Linked DNA regions of Caenorhabditis elegans. The protein of the gene in region 1 purifies or fractionates together with the protein of each later gene. This does not show direct contact. Each region holds a gene or a part of one and is shown in the gene's direction. Other genes may lie near its edges.

Region 1 (3,235 bases):
AGACCTGCAACATTTTTATGAGAGGAATTATTAGATGGTGTTCAGGCATACTACCTTCATTGGCAATTTCTTCACAGTTCCATCGTCATTATTAATCAAGTAATGATTGTCCAGAACAAGAGCGCCACCTGATGAATTATTAGATTTTTTGAACGTCTGAAACAGTAATTATTGTTGAGTTGGGATAGCTTTCCGGCTTACAGAAGTTGTCAACTCAGTAATTGTAGTGGTCTCCGACTTTGTGAAATTCGAGGAAGACGTCGCCTTTTTAGAATTCGACACCGACGCCGAAGTATACGGACTCGTTTCACCGGCGCACTTTTCCTGGAAAATGCTTTGTTTTCATGGAAAAGTAGCAGCAGACACCCACCGAACTCTCGTAAGACAGGGACGGAACATCGAAATCAATCGATTCGGCGCGTCCGAGTTGCTTATTGTAGATCATACGTGGCTTCGACGAGTTTTTCAGTGTCTCATCCATGCATGTTTCCTCGCACGAAATCAGCTTCAGGTTATTTTCCGAAGGCGGTGGACGGGGCTTCTTGTCAACCGGCTTGGGGATTTGCATCTGAAAATTCCCCAGTCAGTTGTCACGTCATTTAATTCAAATTTGTTAATTGCTTTAGAGGTTATCCTCTTTTAATTTTCATACCTTCAACTGCTGGACCTCCTCCATGCGTCGAGCCTCTCTAATCAGCTTCTCGTTGTCCATCATTCGATTCACGTGTTTGCCACGTTGCAGCAGTGCCCGAATCGCTTGATCCAAATTGTCCATCGTTTTGACTGTACAATCGCAATTCACGCATTCCATCCTTTTCGCTTGCTTCGAATTTTGAAAGTTAAGGAATAATTGATTTCTGGTTTTGAATTGTTGTTTTGATTTTTTTCATTCAACTTTTCAAACAAATTAGGCTACACGTTTAAATGTTCAATAAATTTTCCATTGGAAAGTTAACGTTAAAAATTAATTGTAAGAACATATGTGAAATGAGAATGGTGCAGTTGTAAAATGTCAAAAAAGTGATAATATGGTTCGAATATTAGGAATAAGGGAAACCCGAATTGAACCTTTTGAGGTTTAGATTTCAAAAATTTCCAAATTGTTTCCAAAGGTTTAACTTCTCTTAAACAACGCAAAATTATCAAAAGTCTGCAAAATATAGATTTTAAAGCAATTGTACATGTCTCGAGAGTAGTGAAAACTGCACTGAAAAAGTTACAGATTGAAGTTTCAGGGGTTGAGCATGAAGCTTTGCCGTTTTAATCTTAATACATTTTCCTATAACTTATTTTTTGTAGTTTAGATAGAATTTATGATTTTTAAAACTCAATACTAAATTTTCAGTAATTTCCAAATGTTTTGATTTTTGAGTTTCCATCTTTACCCAACCCTAATTTACTCTTTTCTCCACCTCGTCTGCCACTTGAAAATTACCTCCGTTATTTGGATGTTGTTTACCAATTTACTGACCTTCAGAGTCGCAAAAATCCCGCCTCACTCCTTTCCGTTCCAAAATGTTAGATAACATTGGAAATGCAGAAACGCAGAGCATCCAAAAGATCATAATGTTTGTCATCATTTGGAGGCGGGAAGGGAAATGGGCGGAGCCGTGCGGACTGGTCAAAAGTCGTTATTTTTCGGCGGTTTGAGGCATTTTGGAAAGAGAAAGAGAGACTAGATGGAAAACATTCACTAGAGTCTCTTTTCTTTCTAACTTTACTATGGTTATTTCTAATTCTTTTTTAATTTTTATTTTTTAAAGATTTATATAAGATTTTACAAACTCCCAATTTAACTAAATATTTTTCAGAGAAAAATGTCGATGAACCGTCAAGAAATTAGTGATCTCTGTGTGAAGTCCCTTGAAGGACGAATGGTTGGAACTGAGGCTCAAAACATTGAGAATGGAAACGCCTTCTACCGTTATTTCTTCACCAACTTCCCGGATCTTCGTGTCTATTTCAAGGGAGCCGAGAAGTACACTGCAGATGATGTGAAGAAGAGTGAGAGGTTAGTATTAACACTGTAAACTTTTTGATATTGGTTTCGATTTTAGTTAGCAAAATTTGACGTGTTTCCTCTAATAGTAATGCACCCCACTACTTCGCTTTTGAAGGTAATAACTAGTTCAATTTTGAAGATACCAATAAATAATTAACTGCACAACAATAGGAAAAGAAATAAAAAACATTTTTCCAGGTAACAATTTTTTTAAAGCTGTTAAAATTAAACAACGGGGTGCTATATTGTAGCGTGTCTGACTAATGGAAATTATCAGCAAAACAAAACTAAATAATTCCAATTCCAGATTTGACAAACAAGGCCAACGTATTCTTCTTGCGTGCCATCTCCTTGCCAACGTCTACACCAATGAAGAAGTCTTCAAGGGATACGTCCGTGAAACCATCAACCGTCATCGTATCTACAAAATGGATCCAGCTCTGTGGATGGCATTCTTCACTGTATTCACTGGATATCTTGAATCTGTTGGATGTCTCAATGATCAACAAAAGGCCGCATGGATGGCACTTGGAAAGGAATTCAATGCTGAGAGTCAGACACATCTCAAGAATTCCAATCTTCCACATGTTTAATAGATCTGAATGTTTTGAGCCTTTATATTGTATTTGAATGAGCTTTGAGTATTATAATGATTATCTCTCTTGGAAACGTTTTTGTACAAAATAAACAAAGTATTTTGACATAGTTCACAGAAAATTAATACGTACTTGGCAACACTTTGGAACTTCAATTTATTGTCCATTTCCATGATGCAGCCGTCACATTGCATGCCATCAAAATATTTATCTTGTTTTTAATTCACCATGAACCAAAGAACCGAATATCTCTCGAACTGACTTCTGATGTTTTGATCTTTTCGTTTTCGAATTGCCTGCCAACACGTGTGAATAGAGACCAACAACATGGCACGTACACTAGCGTTTTACACTTTTTCCTCATTTTGTGTACACTTGAATTGCTTGAATTACATTAAAGCTTCCGTAAATGTTGTGAATATTATGAAGCACGGAATAAGTTTGCGGCACCAAACAAGCTTGGAATACATATCATTTGATTCGACTGGATTCGACTGAACAAAATGCAATGATTATAGTTTTCCACATTAAATAATACATTAACGAAATTTTTGGGATGCTATAAAACAATCAGAACTTACAAACTAATAAAGGTACTCTTGTGATGTAAAAAAATACAGAAAAAAAATCAACAAAA
Region 2 (3,841 bases), 3.0 Mb from region 1:
GTGAATGTTCGAAACAAGGCGGAGAAATTAAGGTTCTACATTCAAAAAGATAAAAACCAATTCAATAAAATTTTGATGCAGATTTGGAATTGCATCCGTCCAGGAGGTTGGTCAACGTGGTCAAAATGGTCGAAATGTAGAGAAGGTATCCGAAAAAGAAGACGAACGTGTAATAATCCTTTACCAATTGGTACCACTTGTTCTGGCCAGAAAGTTGAGAAGCAATCTTGTGCAATTTCTTCAAATGTACCGGAGTATCTTTTTGGATCCTGGACATCCTGGAATCCATGGTCTCGATGCGATTGTGATCGTAGCCTGAGGATACGGTAGGTTCAAACAATTGGGAAATGTACAGTAACCCAAGTTTCAGAACTCGGCACTGCAAAGGTAATTCCTGCGAGGGATGTGACAAGGATTACGAAGATTGCCGCCCAGATGAGTGTCCAATTAGTAAAAAATGGTCCGAATGGACAGATTGGGTGAATTATGGTATGGGTCTCATTACGCTGAAATATATCAACAAATTTGTAATGATTTAATTTCAGGAATTGAGCAAGTACGGTTTTCAGCCTGGTGTTCGTCATCAAACGTGGCGAATACTGAAGTGGGAATACGGAAGGAGACTCAAGACTCAATGAAGCATGGTATTAATTTTAGTTAAAAAATTTCGAAGAACCATAACTTGAAGACTAAATTTGAAAGTTTCAAAGTACAATGTCCACTTTACTGTCTAAATTTTTGTGTTAGTTAACAACATGATAAAAAATTAATGAGAATAATTTCCAGCCAACTGGTCTGAATGGCATATGCATCCAGGAGTTGCATACCGTTATCGTCTTCTTCACAACTCTTCTATTTCCATCGAACACCATCTCTTATCAAGATTCACGTCATCATGTCTTCCCTTGCATTTTGCAATTCCAATATTTTGTTTTTGTATTCTCACGGGTTTCCTTCTTCAAAATATTATTTATTGTGTTGTGAATCGTTTTAAAAGGAGATTCATAAGATTGAATTATTCGTATGATTCAAATCCACGTGACTATCCTTCTCATTTGATTCGTTCTCCGGGTTCCCCGAAAGATGAAAGTTTTTGGTGAATTTCGGATGCTTTCGAGAACAGTCTCTGTCTGCCCATTTCTCACGCCACGATAATAAAAGTTATCATTGATCTGTACAACGAATACTCTGAGTGAGGTGTTTTTAATTCTTATCACTTCAACTCTTCAGTTTTAAGACTGAAATTCTAAAGAAAAAACATCAGAATTAATTATACTTTTAAAGAGAGGCGTACTTTCGCAAATGGGTCTCGCAGCGCAAGCCAACGACTAACAACGACAATACCGCACATTTAAATTCAATTTTAGGATTCATTTTTTCATTTCCAAATTTTTCGGTTTTTTCTATAAGAAAACAGCCGAAAACTTAAGAAAATAATTCCTGCACAATTGTGAAAAATTGTTTTTAAAAAATTGTGCACAATTTTATTAATTAAAAAAAAATTTTTGTGTAGTTTTTTTAAGGGATTTATCTACTTTATCTATAGATTAATTTGCCGAATTGACATACTCTTTAAAAATAGGCCTCAAAACTTTCTATCTCGGAATTTTTCGATCATCCTAAAGTAGTACAAGAATATCACGTTTCAGTTCTCTGCGCGCCAACAATATTTGGCGCCGCCCGTTCGCCGTCTCCCGTTTTTGCGCACACTCTCGGCGACTGTACTGATTCTCTACACTCTCCGCCTCCCCATTTTCTCGACCGTCCATTTCATTTCGCATCACTTCTATTTTTCACGATGGCAACTGTCGGAGGCGCTTTCAAGGACTCTCTTACCCAGGTTTGTTGATCATTCATCATTTTGTAATGCCCTTCTTAGTTTAATTGTTGTATTTCTAGGCTCAAAAAGACGAGCTTCACCAAATCGCTCTCAAAATTGTTCAAGATGGAAAGGGAATCCTCGCCGCCGATGAATCCACTGGTGAGCTATTGGAAAAATTCTTCTAGAACTAGAAAATCGAGATTCTTATCTTCTCACAATCATCTTTTGACAATTTTTCTATTCAATAAGAATTAGCGACTTATGTTCAGAAGTTCAAAAAATAAATTTTCACGGTCTAGCGATCATATTCTGTGCCCTCTATCGCCTCCAATTTTCGATGTTTATGTTGTTGAAATTGGAGATGTTGATGCATTGATAGTGCGAGTGATAGATAAAATTGTAGATAGAAAGAAAGATAACATGTAGAAATGATATTGGGGAAGACCGATTTCTTCTTTTTTATAATGCAGCACATCGTGACCCGATCAATTTGCAGGCACAATCGGAAAGCGTCTTGATGCCATCAACCTCGAAAACAACGAGACAAATCGTCAGAAGTATCGTCAACTCCTGTTCACTACTCCAAATCTCAACCAGCACATCTCCGGAGTGATTCTCTACGAGGAGACATTCCATCAAAGCACCGATAAGGGAGAGAAGTTCACCGATCTTCTCATCAAGCAAGGAATCGTCCCAGGAATCAAGCTCGATCTCGGAGTTGTCCCATTGGCTGGAACCATTGGAGAGGGAACCACCCAGGGGCTCGACAAGCTTGCCGAACGTGCCGCTGCTTTCAAGAAGGGAGGATGTGGATTCGCCAAATGGCGTTGTGTTCTCAACATCGGAACTCACACCCCATCTCACCTCGGAATGCTCGAGAACGCCAATGTGCTAGCCAGATACGCTTCTATCTGCCAGGCCAACGGACTTGTTCCAATTGTCGAGCCAGAGGTTCTCTGCGACGGAGAACATGATTTGGCTCGTGCCCAGAAGGTTACTGAGCAAGTTCTTGCCTTTGTGTACAAGGCTCTTGCTGATCATCACGTGTATCTCGAAGGAACTCTTCTCAAGCCAAACATGGTTACTCCAGGACAATCGAGCGCGTCGAAAGCTTCACACGAGGCAATTGGATTGGCTACCGTAACCGCCTTGAGACGCGGAGTTCCAGCTGCAGTTCCAGGAATCACTTTCCTGTCTGGAGGGCAATCCGAACTTGATGCCACTGCTAACCTCAATGCTATTAACTCGGTAAATTTAAACGAAATGGAATAACCTTATATCACTCATTTCTATTTACAGGTTCAACTCGGAAAGCCATGGAAGCTCACCTTCTCTTATGGACGTGCTCTTCAAGCTTCTGTGCTCAAGGCATGGGGCGGAAAAGACGAGAACATCGCTGCCGCTCAGAAGACACTCCTTCACCGTTCCAAGGCCAATGGAGATGCATCTCTCGGAAAGTACGCCGGAGAAGACGCAGCTGGAGCCGCCGCCGAGTCTCTCTTCGTTGCCAAGCATTCCTATTAAGCGATGACGCATAACTTCCTGTGAATAGATTTTTCGCAACCTCGTCCCCAAGATTGTATAATTTCACTGACCCCGAAATGAAGTTTTATTTCACCGAAATTTTATATTTTATGAAACCCGAAAACTAAAAATCACCAAAAGTGGGAATATTAAGGATCTACTTCAATATATTCAAACAATGCTCTCTTTGCTTCCGAACTCTTGCTTGCTGATATCATTCTTCCGAAGTGGTGTCTGATCAACAATCGATAGCTTCCCTTCTGCACTCAAAGTGAGAAGACATTCAGGAATATTCAGCTCACTCCATCCAAATGCCCAAAGATCATACACCTAAAATCAAATAATCAATTGATCATTCTCTGATCTTCCTCACATGAATGAATATTTGACGGACATGTTTAGTGACAATTGGATCTTCACTGATAAGTTTATGACGCAATTTTACAATGATTCGTTCGACGAGATATGAATTCAAATCGTGAAGAACGCGACCAT
Region 3 (2,977 bases), on another chromosome or scaffold:
TTTCTACTCTCAACGATCAGCCCTGTTTGTTTTCTCTTTTTTTTTGATTTTCGGCATTCATTCATCAAGTATACATTCCCGAACTCTCAGATTTAATTTCATTGGTTTTCGGTCGGTATATGGGAAAACGTAGTTTGAGGTTATATTCTGTTAGATAGGTCAGCGAAAAGATTTATGTCGCCTATAAAGAAATGGTCCGTTTGTACATATTTGGCACATCAACTGAACAAAGAAACAATGACGTTTACATGTTTATGGATGACCACGTCATAAAACTAGAGATAATATCTGAATGAAGGAAAGTGTAGGTTTCCGAGGGCATATACAATGTTAAAGGATAAATAATGAAATTGTGTTTTGAATAGTAGTCTAACTCACGAAAATTCTCAAGAAAAATAGATCATAACAAAACGTTCTAATTAGAATTACGTTTTGGTAGATACATAAGTCTAGAGCTGTACAGATCAAGCTGGTTGTCAGAAATTCGATTCATTTTCAGTTTAAACTTAATTGTTCGATACACCTTCTGACCATCTTTCCATTCTGACTTGTAGCATTTAAAGATATGTTTCGATCATTGGAACAAATCAGAAGTTGTCATTGAAACCACAGAATGTTGGTGCTTGACAAAATGAAGAAGTCAAGAAAAGGAGGAACCGACAGTTTTATTTCCATATCAGGAAGTGATCGAAGGATATAAAATGGGATCGACTGAAGGCAGAAACAGGAAAGAAAACGGATTGGTACTACGATTTTAGATGGAAAAACCTCGAAGATGATACACATAAAACGGATAATAAAATATACTGAAAAGAGAAAAATGAGTTCAAGGCTACACAAACAACACCTTTTGTTTCAAATTTTACCTTATTTCATTTCTATGATAAGCTTAAAAAGATGAATGATGTCATTGAGGAAAGTGTTAAAATGAGACGAGAAAGATGTAAAGATAGATCTTCGTATTGATAGATACCGACAAAAGGTCAGACGTTTCATATTGATGATGGTTAGGGAAAAGGAAATGAAGAATAATGATAAAATCATTTAAAAAAAGCAAAAGGCCGGTAAATCGACTGAAAAACACTAGGTTTTGAAAAAGTTGGGAAAATTTTCCATGCAATAGTTCTAGAGTACTTTTTCGCAAGTCATTTCACTTGTTGGGAAAGGAGTTTTAATTTCGAATCGAGACAACTAAAAAATATTTTTTTTAACTTTTGTATTTTGTAGAGTGAAATATTTGATCACACTCCAAGAGTAGTTACTATTTCCGAGCCTTTCATTTTTCACGAAATCCAGATATTTGATATGTGACTTTCAACACAACAGTTCAGTTACAAGAAGACAGAATGAAAATCGAATCTGTAACGGAATTTTAAAAAATCATGAGAACCTCTGTCCGCGTTCTATCTCAATGACGTCTTTCTTAACTTCTGTTCCAATATTCTAAATTTATTCGTCACTACGGCTTCTTTATTGTGTTGAAAAAGTTTCAAATTCAGCGATTTTCCATCGGAAAACTGGTCAACTTCAGCGAACACACTGTATCTCTCTATGTCTCCATACTGTCTCATCTATGATCTACGTGTGGGAGGAGCGAAAGGGCGGCACAGAGAGAGAGATAGAGATAGAGAGGGAGAGAGAAATGACTATGAGCGTCGATTGTATAAAAGAAACTATTTCTGCTGGACATCCCTCATCAGTCGTCTTCTAATACTCTTTCTGATTCACTTAAAATGTGCCGTCTTGCCGTTTTTGCTCTTCTCGCCGTCGCCGCTGTGTCTGTCTACGGACAACCAGCCGGAGGTCAAGATGTTCCACCATTCCTTCGTAATGCCACTCCAGCTCAACTTCAGAGCTTCCAACAGCTCATTCAAGCCAACGGTCATTTGACTGAGACCGCTCTTGACGGAAAGGTCCAAGCCTGGGTTAACCAACAAGGAGGAAAGGTTGCTGCTGACTGGGCTGACTTCCAAAAATTCATCAAGGGACAACAGGGACAAGCTGAGGCTGCTCATCAAGCCGCTGTTTCCAACTTCTCTCCAGCTGCCAAGAAAGTAAGATAATGTGGATAAACCAACTAGATTAAGCCATATATTACGTAAAAGTAAAATCAGATAAACTAGTCGGATTTGTACTAGCACTGCAAATACTACATCTACTAGTTTTCGGAATAAAACCAAAGTATCAATTTTAATCTTTTCAATTTCTTTCAGGCCGATGCTGACCTTACCGCCATCTCCAATGACAGCTCCCTCTCTGTTCAAGCCAAGGGACAAAAGATCCAAGCCTACCTCAACTCCCTCCCAGCTAACGTCAAGGCTGAGCTCGAGAAGGCCCAAGGACAATAAGTGCTGATCAACCAAAGAACCTCTCAATTTTTTTTTGTAAATACCCTCACTCATTCTCTCGTTCTCATTCGATTGATTCCCTTTTTGCCCAAATGAGCTCTAATTCTAATAAAAATCGTGATGCTCTTCAAATTTCAATTGAAACTAGCAAACATATAAAAACTAGAATATTCAGTATAGGCATGTGTATCTATGTTTAGATTGGATGTACACTTTTTATGAATGACTGAGCGGTAAAGTTGACACAAACCTGTTTGTTTGCGCATACTAGTACTTAGGATATTGTGTAGAAAAAGTGCTCAAGTTCAGTTTTTTGAACATTGAAACTGAAAATTTTTAAATCGTAGTAAACTGGACACTGTCAAATAAAAATATTTCATGGTATGAACAAAATAAAGCTTTTAGAGATAAAAAACACGGCTTCATAACTATTGTTTTAAAGTTTTCAAATGATCGATTCTACTTCCAAAAACATATTATTTTCTCTACTCCGTGATATTCTCCATATGAAGAAAAGTACGAGAGACTATCACTTTAAGTTCAAGGTCTCACAATCTCTGATTTGTGATGACCCTTTTCTCTTCTTTTTTCAATCAAACTTAATTTGTTTCCCAATTGTGTTCCAGACT

Evidence for each region.
Region 2: the proteins of glb-1 (region 1) and aldo-2 fractionate together in Caenorhabditis elegans (co-fractionation; one large-scale study listed by BioGRID). This does not show direct contact.
Region 3: the proteins of glb-1 (region 1) and srlf-1 fractionate together in Caenorhabditis elegans (co-fractionation; one large-scale study listed by BioGRID). This does not show direct contact.

The regions. Positions count from the first base shown.
Region 1 is NC_003281.10:8,921,867-8,925,101, reverse strand, and holds glb-1 (Globin-like protein), read left to right. Parts: upstream 1-1,811; 5' UTR 1,812-1,817; coding exon 1,818-2,011; intron 2,012-2,309; coding exon 2,310-2,595; 3' UTR 2,596-2,703; downstream 2,704-3,235. Other genes in the region: ZK637.12 (uncharacterized protein), read right to left, coding at 1-4, 55-156, 202-324, 371-568, 653-811. UniProt on the Caenorhabditis elegans protein: May be a globin and may play a role in oxygen transport.
Region 2 is NC_003281.10:5,874,279-5,878,119, reverse strand, and holds aldo-2 (Fructose-bisphosphate aldolase 2), read left to right. Parts: upstream 1-1,649; 5' UTR 1,650-1,798; coding exon 1,799-1,840; intron 1,841-1,899; coding exon 1,900-1,981; intron 1,982-2,318; coding exon 2,319-3,070; intron 3,071-3,121; coding exon 3,122-3,346; 3' UTR 3,347-3,442; downstream 3,443-3,841. Other genes in the region: mig-21 (Abnormal cell migration protein 21), read left to right, coding at 1-32, 82-326, 371-489, 546-644, 787-1,100; F01F1.3 (MIF4G domain-containing protein), read right to left, coding at 3,518-3,676, 3,720-3,841.
Region 3 is NC_003280.10:7,788,899-7,791,875, forward strand, and holds srlf-1 (SXP/RAL-2 family protein Ani s 5-like cation-binding domain-containing protein), read left to right. Parts: upstream 1-1,693; 5' UTR 1,694-1,733; coding exon 1,734-2,054; intron 2,055-2,213; coding exon 2,214-2,348; 3' UTR 2,349-2,477; downstream 2,478-2,977.